Ovis aries: one gene and its partner. The protein of the gene in region 1 interacts with the protein of each later gene in a biochemical or structural test. Links are inferred from orthologs where the notes say so. Each region holds a gene or a part of one and is shown on either strand. Other genes may lie near its edges. The genes, in order: NR4A3 and SIX3.

What was found.
Region 2: the proteins of NR4A3 (region 1) and SIX3 form a complex in vitro, tested with the Homo sapiens proteins (3 studies listed by BioGRID). The link is inferred for Ovis aries from reciprocal best matches to the Homo sapiens genes NR4A3 and SIX3.

The regions. Positions count from the first base shown.
Region 1 is NC_056055.1:48,001,452-48,009,681, forward strand, and holds part of NR4A3 (nuclear receptor subfamily 4 group A member 3), read right to left. Parts: intron 4,903-8,230; coding exon 4,773-4,902; intron 4,312-4,772; coding exon 4,139-4,311; intron 1-4,138. UniProt on the Homo sapiens protein: Transcriptional activator that binds to regulatory elements in promoter regions in a cell- and response element (target)-specific manner.
Region 2 is NC_056056.1:79,390,556-79,399,557, reverse strand, and holds the start of SIX3 (homeobox protein SIX3), read left to right. Parts: upstream 1-4,560; 5' UTR 4,561-4,608; coding exon 4,609-4,663; intron 4,664-5,538; exon of another isoform or gene 5,539-6,036; intron 6,037-9,002. UniProt on the Homo sapiens protein: Transcriptional regulator which can act as both a transcriptional repressor and activator by binding a ATTA homeodomain core recognition sequence on these target genes.

The DNA of each region.
Region 1 (8,230 bases):
CTACCACTATCTTATGGTTTAAGCAGAAATAAATGAAGAAGATACTTTCATTTTTCACTTGATTCACTTTTAAATGGTTTGGCTTTTTCAAACACATGAGTATATGTTATTCTTATTGTAATTTAAAAAATCTAATAAAGACTTCTATTTGAAAAAAAAAAAAAAAACACCAAACTAGTACATTTCCATTACACAGAAAGGCAATATGGTGAGAAACATACTCTCTTGAGGGGTGAGATTTGGGTCTAACTGTTTGCCACTGACTTTAGGTAAGCCACTTAATCTTTTTAAACTTTTATTTATTCTTCTGAAAATATGAATGTTGGATTAGATTACCTCAAGATCACCTCCAGTTCTCTGAATTCTTAAATAAAAACTTTAAAGAGAAGGTAATATAAAAACTGAATTACAATGAGTGATATTTAAAAAATGACTGAAACCATAAATTATACCACATAAACTAAATATATGTGATGGTACCTGGCTCAGAGTAGACTTTCAATAAATTCATTTTGCTTCGTTCACTTTATGTTAATTTTTTTTAAGAAAATGAACAAGCAAATTCAATCTTGTGAAGTAACAAGTTACTTAACAACACACATTCTCATATGTATATGTATATCTATTCACTTGCATTTAGGGACGATAAGGTAGACCCTAGAATCATGAAATCTTAGAGCTGGAAGGAACTTAATATCAGCCAAAACAACCTGTCTCCTTGTGAGGAACCCTTAAAGAGTTCTCCTTAAGTTTCTTCACACTTCCATAGCAGTTCTTGGAGCCAATAGAACTCTTTCTTGTCCTCAGAATGGACTGGAAAGGCCACTTCCTTCACCCTCTAGATCTGCCCTTTGGAGAACAGTCCTCTTGGTAACATGGCAAAAGTGTGACCTAGTCCCATCATACCTACTCTCTTTCTGTCTACATATTACCATTTCCTCCAACTATCCCTTTCAAGTTTTTAAAAACAGTGTATCCATTGCCCTCTTAAATCCCAGCTTGGAACTGAACTCCATCCTTGAAGTGTGGACTGACAGCGCAGAGCCCATGGGGCACCACCAAGTTAGTCCTGGTCCTATCCTTCTTCTGCAGAGGCTGAAGCTAATTTAGCACCCCTCCTTCCACCACCTAAACACACTGGTGGTTCTTACTGAGCATAGGGAATAAACTCCTGAGATCTCTCAACATGAACCACTGAGAAGCTAAGTCTCTCCCATTTAAAAAAATTCTAAATGCTGAGCTTCACGTTTATTTTTGTTAACTTTCTCCATGATGGTTTCATCCATCCTGTTCCAACCTGTCGAAATCACTCTGAATGTTGATACTGACATCCATCATATTAGCGATCCCTCCCAGCTTTCTGTCATCTGCAAATGTGATCAGCATGCCTTCTATGCCTTCATCCAAGTTTTTGATGAAAACTCACTGTATTTTTTAAAAAAGACTTTTAATTTAATTGATTTGAGTCCAATTTTTGATAATTTTGTAAAGCTATCTAAAAGCAGGAGAATCCAAGCTATGAGGTTCGATCTGATTCCAAAACAATGCAATTAAAATGGATATGCTTTGCAAAATTGAACCAGGCCCCAAAGGTAGTATCATCGTGACCCAGACTCTGGCATGGTCAATCTGCTATTTTGGACAAAGCTAACAATTAAATTGGATAAATGTTTGTTGATGAGGATGATGACTCTAGTCTAACACACTGAATGGTGCAGAAGCAAGCAAACATAGTGGATTGATTTTTCAGTGTGGACAGTTCCCAGCTGGGACAACTCAAAGTATGGGACAGGGTTCACCACTGAATAACTAATTAGGCCACGTAGACCAATAATTGGATGATTTGTGCCCCTGCCATCATCACTTTGTGGATAAAATTCTTTGGACTGGCCATGGTCATTGCCAATGCCCTAGTACAAGGTCAGATTGTGTGTTGTAGCCTCAGTGGAGGCAGTGCCAAGAAGTTTCATTAATTCAGACAGATTGCATAAGGGAAGGCCAGAGTTGGTTCATGGAAAAGTCTTTATTCCCAAACACTTTTCCATCATCCATTCTCACTGAAACCAGAGAGGCAGGAAATTGTGGTCTTAGGAGCACAGACTTTGCGGGGAAAATTGGACCAATTGGCTTCTAATTCTATCTCAGATACATATTAGCTAGGACACCTTGGAGAAGGAAATGGCAACCCACTCCAGTACTCTTGCCTGGAAAATTCAATGGATTGAGGAGCCTGGTAGGCTACAGTCCATGGGGTTGCAACGAGTTGGACAAGACTGAGCAACTTCACTCACTCACTCACTCATGTGACCTTGGGCAAATCAGTTCTTTAGGCTTTCTCACTTTTAATCTCTTCATCTATGAAATGGCAACCATCACACTTACCTTAGTGGTTTTGCTACATAGCACCTGACATATGTAGTGTTTATACTCATTAAAGCATTCAACAAATGACAGAATAAGAAGGTATGGTCAAGGAGATAACATACAGGGTACTGAGCTAAAGCTCTGACAAGTATCTTATTTAAATTTTATAAAAACAATCTTGGGAAGTAGATATTATTATTATTGTTCCATAACACAGATGAGGAAGGTGAGATATTAAAAGATTTAATCAGTTGCTCAAGGTCACCCAGCTTGGAATGTATTGGTCATTCCAATACATGACGGTATTGGAATTTTACTTGAAGCCTGCACGGTTCCAAAGCCTTAGCCCTTTAACCACTGCATTATTCAGTTAAACTATTATTTGAGACTTGACTGCAGTCAAGAGATGCTACTTGTAATCAGAACAAGAGTCCTCAACCTTTGATGCTAAGGACCTACCATGCTTCTCATAGGGAGTCTTGTGCTCCAGAGTGCAAAGGAGGCCTCACAGCCTAAAAGGAGGGAGGGGATGAAGGAAGGCAGATCACAGCAGGTAGACCAATCACCCTTTCATTTCCATCAACACTACAACCTAAGAAGAGGGCAACAGCAGACACACTCACACTCTTAGCCAACCCTTCAACCAGAAGTTCAAGATACTGATTGGACCTGGAGAAAGCAATCTGGTAATTGCTACCAAGCCAAATCAACCAACTGGGGATCCCTTGACTGGTTTCTCTCTCCTCTGTGTGGAAATTGTGTTTGTAAGTTTCCTTGTCTTAGAGTGGGAGTAACTATTCTTACAGTTTATGGTTCTTTAAATGGTTGTTAGATGAGACAAAGTACAATGTCTAGCATGTAGAAATGGCTGAATAATTATGATCTTTTTCCTTTCTTTCTTTCTCTGGTGAGACCCTGCCTTACTAGAAGTTTGCTTTTCTAAGTCTCTTTTAAAATTGTCTTCCAATAATATTTATACATTTGCTCAGAAAATCGTTCTTCTTCATGTTATCCAAATTTCTGGGAATTTTCAGGTTTCAAACTGATGATATTTCACTATATCCCATATCAAATAAAAGTGTTGATATATTTTGGTTGACGTAACAACACTGGTGGTCATTTTCAGTTTCAAATGTTTTCTCAACCATTGTTCCTATGTGACTGATGTTCAAAACATCCCTCTGAGGTTAAATATTGTAATCTCCACTGTAAGGATGAGAAAGCCAAGAGCAGGAGCCAGGTGACCCAGGCAGGAAGCAGCAGAGGCAACATTCCATCCCAGTCATCCTGATGTCAAGGCCAGAGTTTGCTCCTCTCCATCAATGGTCTAATCCCTCTCCATAAGCAGTAGGTCAATCAATGCCAGTGCAACTGGGTAAACTGTTTAAGGATAACTTGAGGCTTACCCAGCTGGTTTGGTCACAATATGAAAAACACAGTAGTCATGTTGTCTAAAGCACGAAAGAAATGTACAAATTGTAATTCACCTGTGCAGATTTTCATTGGCATAACCATCAGGAATCCTGCAACAATGGGTATGACAGGTGCAGCACTGTCAGGGTCATTTGTTAAGGCATTTAGAGATTCAATAAGGCAAAAATTATTTGGTGCAATGGATGCACTGGAATTGCTAAGTGAAGTGAAAAAATAGAGAAAAGATATGAAAATGGTTGAGCACAGTGCCAGACACAAGTCATTCAATCCAGGCTTATTACTAGCATCATGAATAGAGACCCTGATCATTCACTCAAAAGCAGGATATCATAAAACTTACTCTGGAATAATCAAGATCTCTGGGCGTTGAGTCTGTTAAAGCTCGGACAAGGGCATTCATCATACAGATCGGAGGAGAAGGTGGAGAGGGCTGAGAGGCTTCCTGCTGTAATGGGCTCTTTGGTTTGGAAGGCAGCCGACCTCTCCTCCCTTTCAGACTGTCTGTACGGACAACTGATACCAAGAGAAAAAAAGAAAAAATGTCTCCAAAGATATCCACAAACAGCCATAAATCACAGAAAGGAAACAAAACACTTTACAGCTGAGCAAATCATTAATGAGACTGACTGTTTAAAAGTGGAAAAAGTTTGGAGTAATATCCCCACAATGATTTAATGAGAGTTGAAACAGCCAGCATAACAGCCACCCCATACGTACTTTTGGTAATGAATTAGCCCTAAAAGTCTCCTTCTCAAATAGAAGAAAGATGTATGTACACAAGCTCTCTATTGATTTTGAGAAATTAGAATAAGCAGACCTCTGCTATTTTTAAATGTAAATACACCATAAAAATAGAATGCTGAAAGGAAAGGGAAACTAGGAAAATTCACCATCCCAAATGTAAATATTAACTTTTTTCAGGGATATCTGAGAATATTTACAAGCAAGTTGGATAAAAAGCATTATACCCATACCTTCTTTAACCATTCCGACACTGAGACACTTCTGAAATCGACAGTACTGACATCGGTTTCGACGTCTCTTGTCTACGGGGCAGTTTTTATTTGCCAGGCAAACATATTTTGCATTTTTCTGCACTGTTCTCTGAGGAAATACAATACACAGATAGTCAACTAATAGTTTCTGGAAAGAGGTAGGACCTGACAAGATGTATTTTAATTACAATGTGAAAAGCGACAGTGCAATTCGTATAATTAGATAAATTTAATTTCCTAACACACTAGCCTGCAGGAAAAACAATTTTATTAGTGTTAGCTGCTGACAATGAAAATCATCTCGGATTGTTCTGAAGCAAGTCTCAGGAGACATCCAAGTCTGAATGATAAAATCATATCTGAAATTACCAGGTCAACATATCATACCTTGGAGGATTAAATTATCTTCACTTTTAATATCCCCTTGGGAACAATTTTCTACTTGGTCCACTCCCCTGATTATTGCTGACCTTATTAAAATAAAATCAAAATTATCTGGGATATACTTTGTTGCCTATCACTATTGTAAGTCAAATGTCACAGAAAGCGGCTTTGTCCACCAATAGAGATGAAATCATAAAGAGCAAAAATGAGGACTTCTCTAGGTTTAACATATAGGAAATAAAGTTTTAATGCAAAAACAAATCACTTAATCAGCCTTTGCAGTGTATTTTATTTTTAAAAGAATGGTAAACTGTCCATTTCTGACTTTTGAAAGAAAAGATTTAAAACTGGATACTAAAAACCACTATCACATCCAAGAAAAAACAAACAAACAAAAAAGAATGAGATAAAGGAAGGAATATGAGGGCCATATATTTTCAATGAAAATTCCCATTAATAGGTTATGTCATAAATGACTATTGACATGAACAAAATAGCCATATTGTAAAAGATGCAACATTAAACTTGGGTCTGGATATAAAATAATGTTGTATTCTTCAGAATCACATACACTTTTAAAATGAAACATGAAATAATAAAAGATATTTTATGCTCCAGATACAAGAGAATGCTTGATTTAAAAAAATAAAAATAATTTGTGCAAATGGATGTATATTCACCACTCATTCAGAAGTTACCTGAATCTATTCAACTCCAAATAGAGCAGAAAGGTGAATTTATTTGGTAAGCCTGGGCTACATGAAAAAAAAAAAATCTAGGTAATCTAGGACTGGTGATCTATTTTGTATCTAAAATTCTAGATTTACTTTCTATCTTTTAAATTTTCAGCAATTTTCAATCCTCTTGTATCTGTTTTTACTCTATCACCTTTTAATTTCATTTTAAGGGATCGTTTCTAAACTGCTTATATAAAATTTAAAGCTAGATACATTTTCCCTGCTTTAGCAGGTGATTTTAGTTCAAAATGAGAAATTTCAAAAATACAACATACTTCTCATGTTTCCAGCATTTAAATTTGCAGCAGTCTGTAAGGGTAGGAAACCTGTGTTTCCGGAATGAAGCTCTCTTTCATTGTAATTAAAAGCTCTCTTTCAAAGTAATTTTAGAAAACTGTATTTCTTATCATCATCCGCAAGGATATACCAATTTGAGTGCTGGTGGCATTTTGCTTCAGGTATATGTTTTCCCAATAACCTGAAACCTTCCTAACATTTGTGTGTGCTTGCACAACTGTTTAAGGACAGGGAGAGATCGTTATGGTTCAATCACTGAATTCCCATCATTAACTGCACTTCATGTCACATTTTTAAAGAATTCAATTTAATGGTAGAAAGCCACTGGGTAAAACCTGCTCCTGCTCCCTTAATTAACAGATCCGTGTGTGGGGTGGTTCTCCCCTATCCTACCCCCACCCATTCAAGTATAGATTTGTTTTCGAGGTATTGCTGTAGAAAAAGGATGCTTGTTGGGGAACACAATTGACATTTCTAGACCAGAAATTTATTATCACTCCTGCATTTAGGTCAACTCTCAATTATTCAGGGGTGGTTATATTTATGGATTACTTATACTTCTCATAATTGTTTTTCTTTCTTTTCCCCCTTCTGGCTGCCTGTTTCACTGCCTTTTAGCATTTCCACTGAAACACCGTAAAAATCAAATCTGCTGAAGAAATGCAGTTACTTGACAGAAAAAAAACGGCTAAACTGATGGTTCTACATTTAAGACATCATAATCTAGCATACCTCTTGTATGGTGCTTAATATATTGTAAAATCTTTCCACAACTATTTTCTCATTTGTCTGTAGAATTTAATTAATCATATGATTCCTATCTCCAGATCAAAAATAACTGTTGCTTATTGGTATGTATACCAATGTACACATGTGCATTTTTCATAAATATTTTGTAGTTTTCATTTACGATGTACTATTCTTTTATGACCCTTTAAAAATTATATTTTCAAAAATGTTTTATCTCATTTAAAACTAACATTTCTTCTCTGCATTGTATTCACTTGATAGGGAAACTGAGGTCTGGAAGAAAGTGTCTACCCAACATCATAAAATTGATAGGTGACAGATCAAGGATTCCTTTCTGGTTGTTCTGACTCATAATTCCAGCACGCTCAAAGATCCAGCCTATTGGCCTCCCAAATCCTCATTACCCAGTCAGCATCCAGCTTCTCCTCTCTCTCCACCCTGGCCAGCGCTGGAGCTTAGGAAGTGAGAATTGTGGGAGAACATTCTTGGATTTGCAAATACCTGATGCAATGACCAAGGCAGTGAGAACAGGGAGGGTGGTGCAGAATTAAGTGTCTGGGGTTCAAGAGCAAAAGTAGAGCAGTAAGAGAACAAGGCCTCTTCTCTTTGAGTGGTGCGAAGAGCACTGAACTCCAGAGTAGCAGAAACTAGCTGGAACTGTCCCCATGTGCCACTAAATCACCTCTTTAACCTTCAATATCCTCATGGGTAAAATAAGGGGGAGACTGAAGACCCCTCCCACTGTAAAATTCTCCTTTGGGTCTATGAGCTAATGAAGAGTGTCCACACTTGGCCTTGTGTGTGGCACAGAAGTGGAGCAGATTGATGAGACTCCAGCTTCTCTCTTCTGCAAGGGGAGCTGCCCCAAGCTTCATTCCCCAGATGTCCCTGTCTCTTCTTCAGCTGTTGAACTGTGAAGAAAGCATGCACTTTGGGGTCAGGCAAACACCAGTCGGCATCCTGCCTCCATCTTACTTTCTGAGTGTGTGTCTAGGGGCTGTTGAATAACTTCTCTGAACCTCCATCTCCTCATCTATAAAACAAGGATAACTAATTTAAACCCTCAAGATGCTGTTCATAAAACTAGCTAGTGGGTTGCCAAAATTCAATCTCAGTTCTGTCTGATCTAGAGTCCTAGCTCTCACTAGGAGGATTAAATGAGATACAAATACCCAAGGCCTGGCACACAAGGCTCTATTCCTTCAGACATTTGGGATGGATAGAAGAGGAATACAGAGAGATGTGTGCATTTTTGAGATCACAGATCCC
Region 2 (9,002 bases), on another chromosome or scaffold:
AAGCCCGCTGCCCGCCCCGAAGGCACGAAGGCCAGGTCGGCTTGCGGGGCAGCCTCACCCCGCCACCAAAGCCAAAAGAGCGAGGCCGAGGGGTGACTCCTCGTTGACGTCCTCCGCCAAGAAGCGAGTTGTCCCCGGCGCGCGCTGGAACCACAGCTCTGCCAGCAGCCCCGAAGGGGCCCAGCGGGCTCCCAAGTGTTCGGAAGTGGGCAACCAACTTCACCGAGACTCCTGCTTTTAAGAGAAGGGCCCCGGCTGAGGAGGCGGCGGGAGGGGACTGTTGCAAACAGCTGTTCCTCATACATATTTCATTACACAATCAGATAATGCGTCCCACCACCTTCTCAATTATTCACAGATAAACATTTTCAAGACGTTTTGACATCTGTCTTAGTGCCTGCTATTAATTTAGTAATCACTGTAGTTAAAAAGGTATGGGATTTTTGCCGTCGGAGCACCTCCTCTTGGGCGCGCGGGCCCAAAGTTGCCGGGCTGTGGCTGGAAGCCTGGGCCCTCCGGGGGTGAAGACGCCTTTGGAGGTGAGACGGCCTCTCTGGCGCAAGGACACTGTTAACGGGAGGGATTAAAGGGGCATCTGGTTATTTTTATTGTGGAAGGTGATGGTTGCCCCTCCTCCACCCGCATAGACATCCCCCGCCCCCGACACACACTTTCCCACCGCAGCACTGGACTGGACCAAGAAGTTCAGCCCTTTGCCCCGGGCAGCGGAAATGGTTTGCTTCCATCTGAGCGGCGGGTTTCTCGTAAGGAAGACGCGTGCAACCACCGTTGGCTCATTTGGGACCAAGGAAAGGGAGAAAGAGGGAGAGGCTGGGGCGGGGGAGGGAGGGAGGGAGGGAGAGGAGCTCACAATCACTAAGAACTCATCACAACAAAAAACTCTAACAACACAGTGCACCCCCATTCCAGAGGTCACAAACCTCCCTAGTTTTACCCTGAGCCCGGTGGCTGGGCAGCGGTGACAAGGGCGTTTAGGAAACACAGAGTAAAATAAATTCGCTCCAGTGAGTGTACATGGGGCATGTGGGGCTATGAGAAAACGAGCTGCTTTTCTGCTTGAGTGATAAATGCTGCGATGAGCTTAGCTATGTAACCGGAGTTTTCTAAATCAAACAAGCAGTCTGGAGAATCTTGTAGAATTCATTGGTAAGTAATAGCCAACATCTCCAACTCTAAAATGCTGACTGTTATTTATTATTGGAAAGGGTCTAAATAAACTATCCAAAGGGGAGAAAGAAATGCCCCAAGGGAAAGGAGTTTGCTTCCACATGTCCTGAATCTCAGCTACAGGGAATGGAAGTTACGCTTCGGGTGTGGGAGCAATGGTCCCTTTATTCACCCCCACCCCTTCTGCCACAGTCTCCTTCTGAGGTACAACAGCAGGTGGACCCTTATTACAGAATAAGGAAAAACAGACCTGGAGAAAGAAAAAGGTCTTGAAAGGAACTGCCCTTCCAAGAAACATTAACAGACTTTAAAGTGATTCACTCTTTATTGTTCAAAACGACTCTTGCTAAAATTTCCAGGAATTAAGTACAGGGGGAGAAAGGGCAGAGGGTTTGACCCCCAAAGGGAAGACATTCTTTCCTATTCAAATCCCTACTCTACCCTCTACATTTCTAGGGCAACTATACATCTGCTTCAACCTGCCCTCCTTCCCTGTTTACAAAATAGCTCATCTCTTTTTCACAAGAGGAACCTTCCTCTACCCCCTTGCAGGATGGACATCTACTTGCTAGCCCAGAAAACCCTCTTCCTCCCTCCCCATCCTATTTTTCTCTACTTTTAGAGAGAGATTTAGGGAGGGAAGTGAAGTGGATGTAAGGGCACCATTACACCCAGGGTGCTAGCCTCTTCTGCAGGAAAACCATGGTGGCTACTATCTGGAAGGTTTACTGGGACGGGGGCAAGCAAAAAGAGCTGAAACCACAATCAAGCCTGTGCATTTGGCTTTTGGGAGAGCTACTCTAGAAATCCCCCTTCCTGACTTCCAAGTTGACCAGGACAGTAGGTTCTGTTTGGAACTGAGCAATAGGGAGTGAGAACTTCACAATATCTCACCAAGAAAATCAGTCTGACAAACCAAATAATTCAGTTTGCTTTGGAGTGTTCTTTTGTGGATTTGATATACAGGGAATTGGGGTGGAGGTGAAGGTAGGAGAGGATGCAGCTAGCTAAGGCTCTTTTTAACGACTAAATTTGGCATAAAGGGAAATAGGGGGGCAAAATAAGGGCCCCCTGGCTTCTTGAACCCTGGTTGGGGCTGAACATTCCTATTAGAAATCTCCCAGCTTTTGCGTGAAGGCGTCTATGCTTTCCACCCCATCCTTCAGAACACAATCTCATAAACCAACAGTAATAACAAATAATCCGGGTCAAAATAAATCTTTTCTGGATTGCCCTCTTCTGGGGGTCTCCAGCCCAGCTTAGAAGAAGGTAAAAGGGGCAGCTTTGGGGTGGATGCGGTGCTCTTTCTAGTCTCCAGCACTTGATCTGGAACGTTTCACCCAGTCGGCTTAACAAAGTTTCTCCTTCGGGGAGCCAACGTCCGTCTCTCTAGCAGGAAGCCCTTGGCCTCGCGTTCCGCATCCTCATTCGAGCCACTCTCCCTGTATGTGGCTTCCTGCACACCTGCCTGCGGCTGGGGTCACTCCGCGCGCGGCCACTGCGGCTTTTGTCTGCATCTGCACAACTGGGTGTGCCCCCGTTCATTCAAATAATACTGTCTGTGGACATTTCTTCCCCCCCTCCCCAATCCTGCTGTTAGTATTCCTCTAATTCTCCCGTGCATTCGGGTACAATTGCATGTACGTTCCGTGTACAGTCAGGTGACTCAGCTTAAAGCCTGAGCTCCGACGTATGCGACCCCCTGAGTCTGCGTGGAGAGGAGGAAGTGTGCAAGTGTAAATTCGGGGCTTTAGGTGGGGCGCGAGGTTAATACGGTTTTCCGGCCCCAGGGCCTTCTAGGCCTCTCTTACACCTTACACCTCCCCATCTTAACTTTTCAGGAAGAGGGCGATCCTCCGAGGATCCTGAGCCTTGTTCCTTGGGTGGGGGGAGGGGGTAGAAGGGTCGAAACGGCCTTTGGGATCTCTCTTGGTGGATTTCGGCTGGGCCAGGCCAAATGGGAGGGGTGGGGGAGTTCGCGAAGTCGCCTGGAGGCGCGCCACTGCACCCCTCCACGCAGGCCACCAACTGGACCAGGGCGCCCCGGGATCCTGGGGACCTTTTAGGAACCAACAATGAAAGTCCAGGCGCCTCGAGGGTGAGTAATCTACGTCTTTAGGGGAGAAACTTTCTTCCTCGGCCTCCTCCCGGGACCGGTTGTATTTGTAATTGGGAGCTGGCCTGGGACCGCCCCCTCGGCCCCTCCTCCCGCCCCCACCTCGGCGCTCCAAGCTCAGCCGGCTGCCGGACCCTGAGCCCCTGCCACCGCCACGCACCCTAAAGGGCCACGCCATCTCTTGAGTCCTCGGAGAGGCCTAAGGGCCTGGAGCGGACAGGAAGGGTACCAAGTGGGGTGGTCAGGGTCAGGCCGCGACCGCCGTGCGATGTATCCCTCCGCCGGGCGCCGCCGTGCTGGCCCGCGCGTCTTCTAGTCCCCGAAGCCGGCGGGAGCGCTGGCCTCCGGCGTGCTGGGATGGGAATGCGGGTGGCTAGCAGGCGACTGGAAGCTGTTCTCGCAGGGATGGTGCGGGGACCGGTGCGTTCCTGGAATCCTGTAGATGTGTTTTCCCGTGAGTGTGAGAAGGATGAGTATTCGCGGCTAACTTCAGGTCAGTTTGTTCGTGAAAGGCTGTTGTCAGTGCGTCGGCCTATCTCCTGGGCATTCGCACAAAGTGAGGCCACCTCTCTCCCACCCTCCATACAGCCTCCCAGGCCCGGTCAAAGGGCCAAGACCCGGGGCCCCTGAGGCCTGGAGAGGTGAGGCTCCTGCTATACGCCCCCGGGGTTCTGATCATGAATTCCAAGCTGCCCAGCTGCCCACACTGGGTCAACCTAGAAAACCTACGTGGGAAAGGGGGACTCAGAGAGCTATCCCAACGTCCAGTGCAGGGTGAAGTCCCAAGCTCGAGCACAGGACCTGCGGACCTGGAGTCTCACTGCCAACCCAGCCGGGGATCCGGATGGAGTAGTGCTGGTACAGGGTGGAGGTGGAGATGAAAAGAATGGAGAAGAAAAAAACTACACTTGGTTGAGATGGAGTTGGGCAGCTTCTGAAATCTCCGGCTTTTCGCCCTGCTTTGGGGAGGTGCATCGTGCTGCGCCGTTACCCCCCCCCACCGGAAAATAAAGCTAATGATGTAGTAATTTAGGAGGGGGTAAGGGGCTGGGCGAAAGGAGGGAGGAAGGATGGGGAACACGCGCCCCAAGAGCGAAGGCAAACAGCTGTGGAGGCGCTGCCCGCAGCTCAGGCTTCCCAACAGGTTAGCTAGACAGGGATCCACCCGGCATTTCGCAGGAAAGGGTGGGGGTTGGGGGGAGACTGAGCGAGAGGGGGAGAGAGCCTCACAAGAGGACAGAGGGAGGGAGACAGATAGGAGCCAGAGCGCGCGCCGCGCGGTTTAAAAGGAGACACACTTCCTAATGAATATTTATCCGCCGCTGCTTCCTGCTCCCGGCTTCCCTTACCTTTCCGCAGGTAAGATCCTCCCTGATTCCCAGACCTGGGAGGGGTGGGGGTGCTCCCAGCTCCCCAATCAGTCTCGGGGCAAAGTTGGCGGGGCGGAGGGGTTCTTGGCAGCCGAGGAAGGGGAGTAGGAGGGCGACTCCCTCCCGGCTGGGCTGGGGCGCCGGCGCAGGAGACCCGGCACTGCCAAGGCCGCGTGCGTGGGCTACCTGTGTGGAGTGGGTGCGAGTGCGTGTGTGTGAGAGGGAGAGGATGTGCACCCGCGGGCGCGAGCGCGTGTTGCCCGCGCGCTCTGAGGACATTTTTCTGACTTTTCACTCGGACGCTCCGGATTTCTTGCCTTTGCCTTTCTCTGCTTCCTTCTCCCGCTTCTGCCCTCTCCACCTCCCCCAACCTGTCCCCAGTCCTGGCCCCCAAGACGCTCCTCTGCAGGCTGCTGTATATAGCTGGCGACTGCTCCCCCGGGGCTGGATCCCGGGCTCTCATAAGAAAGGGTGTATAGGTGGGTTTCTGTCCCCACCTCCTCCCCACAAAGGCCGCGCGGCCACGGGGTCCCGGGTCCCCATCCGGCCCGCTACACTCTGGAGGTGCTGCGGCGCGTTCCGCCACCTACATGCCTCGGAGCACCGAGGCCCATAACCGACCTAAGGGTGATCGGGCCCGCGGGTCCTGGGTGGAGCCGTGCTGGTCTGCAGCTGGGAGCCGGAGGGCCCCCGGGAGAGAGTGCCACTCAGTCCCTCCCTCACTGCCTCCTCCCGCCTTCGCCCGCGGGAGGAGCAGCGGGAATTCGGGGCTGCCGGGGGGGGGGGGGGGGGGACTGGGAGGGGAAAAGGGAAGGGGGCCGGGGAGGAGCTGGTGCGAGAACCAGAATTCTTAAATGGACTTACTTGGCCACCTGTTGAGAATCCGTGTGGGGTCGGCCGGCTCCGGAGCTGCGCGTGGTGTACACACAAAACCAAACGCCCAAGTTGGAAAAAGAAAATTATTTCTCTGGCCATGCCTGGCGCAGCCTGTCAGGCTCGCAGCTCAGCAACAGGGTCCGGCGGCTGCAGAGCCAAAAGCAACTTTGCCAGGTCTCTAGCCACCACAGTGTCCCCCTCATCCCACGCCTCCTCGGTTCCGAGGCCGGGAGCTGGGAGCCCCCGGACTCGGCGCTCAGGGCCCAGCACTCGCAGTTCGGCTTAAGCCGGGACAGGCTTTCTAAGCCCCGCTCAGAAGTCAAGAGCAGCAGCCCCGCCGCCTCCTCGCGGCCTTTAAAGACGCGGTGGCTCCTTATTCTTGTGCCTCGGCCTCTCTGGTTGCCCCGGGACAAAGCCCCTGGAGCCCGGCCGCTCCCTTCCCGCTAAATCCCCTTCGGGGTCAAGGCGCTACCAGCACCCGGCCTCGCGCTTCTCCTGCCAGCAGTGTGGCTCTTAAAGACCGCAAACCTCCCCCCACCCTCGCCACCTCGCCCTGCGCGCTCCCCCGACCCCCGCCTCCCCGCCCCTCTCCTATGGATCTAGCCCCCCACGCCGACGCCTCAGGTCCCTCCTGTCCCGAGGCCCGCGGACTCCTAGCCCCCTCCTCTCGCCTCCTCCCCTGAGCAGTTGGTGGGCCTGGCCTTGGGGCCACAGAGCTGAGTTATACCCTCCGCCTTAGGACCCCGTTTCTCTCCAACAGCCTCAACTCCTCTCCTCCTGGCTCCTACCTTTGGTCTTTGCATGGATCAAGGCCCCAAGCACTGCCTTGCCTAAGGCAGAGATGATTTCAGTTTGGGCTTGAATTAGGAGGTCGTGGAATGGAAAAAGGGGCGGAGCATGCCAGTTGAGCTGGGGGAGAGAGGTGAAGAGGAGCAGGCCAGATGGATTCAGAAGGCTGTGCCATCCCAAGGCCTACCTGGCCTTTTGGCAGAGGATGAGAGCTGGATGGAGCCACTCATTCCTAGAGGTGGCCATTCTGGAATGGGATCCAGAGGTTACCAGTCTGGCCAGCCCATGTGTGTCTGAGAGATCGTGGGCATGGGGGTGTGGGGGTGGGCACCTCCAGAATGCCCAGAGTGTGGACCTGAGAGCAACCTACTTTCCAAGCTCTGTCTATTAATCCCGCCATAAGTAACCCTTAAAAGCCCAAGAGCTGGGTAAGCAAGGAGGGGCCTTGAGTAACAACTGTCCAGGGAAAGGGACATCAGGGGAGAGAGGGGGTAGAGAGGGGAAGGAGTCTACTCTTTCAAAGCACTGAAGCCCAACTGCTAACAAGGTTCCTGACATTTGCTGGTCAACAATGTCACTTGTCCGACCAAGAAAAGGAGAAGTAGATGGTGCTTTAGTCCTCCTTCTTTCCACATGTCTCCCTCTCTTTTTCTCCTTCAGGCCTGTTTTAGCCTTAGTCTTACCCTAGCAGCGGGTTGATCCTGTGCAGAGTGGCCTTTTGCCTGGAGTGCTTTTTTTCAGGCCTCCTGGAGACCCGATGTGCGATGAAAGAAAAAAAGCAAGAGACATCGTGGCTAGGATTGGGGGCAAGGACAGGGTGCACTGTGGTACCTTGCCTTTCCTAGTGTCAACTATCATAACATTTGACTGTGCTTGAGGTCTGTGGATGGTGGGAGCAATGATGGTGTGCCCACCCCTTAACTCCAAGCCCTAGCACACCAGTTCTGGCTGTTATACCCGGGATCTCTGCAAAAAAAAAAAAAAAAAAAAAAAAAGAAGCAGCCTCCTAGGCAGTGGAGACCAAAGGAATTTGGAGGAGGAAAGAGATGGAAAGCTGACCCTCCATGGGCATCTACTCTCTGCCACACCAAGGTTAGTCCACTTGCAGTTCTTTAAGGAACTGGGGTGACTGATTTGAAATTGACCCTCTTGAGAAATGTTGGCAGCGCTCTCCTTAGGCTACAACCAAAGGCCACAAACCACCCCTTGCCCCCCCCCCTCCCCAAGTCTCCCACCTCTTCTCTTGTGGCTGGGTAACCACAGCCAGCTAGGCCTTGTTTGTGCCCACTCTCCTGGGCCTGACAGTGGGAGGTACGGTGGCCCAAGACGGAGCCAAACTTTTCTTGTTTGGGGATGTGGGGGGCAGAGGGGCCTTCGGCTGGCGGTGGGGCTCATTAGGCAGAGCGGGGTGCCGAGAGGTGTGCGCCGCCAGCCGGGAGGCCGCCTTTGAGCGGTCGGGGCGGCTTCATTAAGCGGCGCTAACAAGGCATACAAATGCCGGGCCCAGCAGCTTTCTTGCAATGTCGGGGCCTTAGCAGGGCGCCAGGCTAATGAGGGTCACTCAAAGGGGCTGATCAAATATTCAAATTTCCCCGCACGCCGGGCACTTTTATGTATGGAGAAAGTTGAGGCAACTGAGCTGTGTTTACTGTCCTGGTCGACAATTACTCGGAGCGCGGGTGCCCGGCGGCTAAGGAGGGGCGGGGGCGCGGGAAAGGGAGCCGTTGTTGTTGTTGTTGTTGTTTTTCATTCAAAGGAAAGTAATCGGGGTCCTTGAAGGGCTTCGCGGCCTCCCCGCTTGCGTGCTGCGCTCCCCTGCGCCCTCCTTGGCCGTCGGCGCCAAGCGCCTCAGTTTGCAGCTTGCGGGGAGGCCCAGACAGCGGGCCAGCTCCCGCCTCCCGAAGTCTTGGGGGCCGGACAAGCGTTGCCCCCCAGGACAAACTGGCCTATGGAGATGAGCGAGGTCAAGTGGGTGCCGCTGCCCCAGCCCTCGGGTCTTCCTCTCTCGGAGGCTTCCAGACCCCTTGGCTTTGCCGGTAACAGAAACTAGGAGAGCGTGGGACTATCTTAGACACCTCTTATGGTGGTTGAGACTGCCTCGGTTGGGAATGACATTTGTAAGTAAATGCCCAGTAGGTCCTGGTAAGAGAAGGCTAACTTCCAGCCCAAAAGCCCTTTCTCCCCTCATCAGCTGTGCTGCTGTCCTTCCCATCGCCTGGGTCAGGATTAAAGCAGAGACGATGGTGACAATTTTGTGACCTCGGCCTGTACTGGTGCCATATCCCAGATCCCGGCGTCTGAGCGGCCAGAGAGCAGAAGACACCTAGAGACCCCGCGGCCGACCTAGCCGTCAAGATCTCCCTTCTCTGAGAGACTCAGGGAGCAGGAGCCCCCTGCGCACCACCTCCTCCAGGCGTCCCCCAGGCCCACCTCCCGGCTCTCGCGCTGCCCAGCACTTCGGATCCCCATAGCAGCGGGGCACGCAGCCTGGGCCCCAGAACCCGAGGTCCTTCTCCTAACATCCCTCCCCAACGCCCAGCGTCTAGGAATTTGGGAGGGGAAGCTCTACCGCTCCACCTCCCCACCAACCTCCCATCAGCACCTTAGATCGACATCCTGCCGAGTCTGTCCTCCCAGCTCGGCCGGGAGCCAGTCCAGCCATC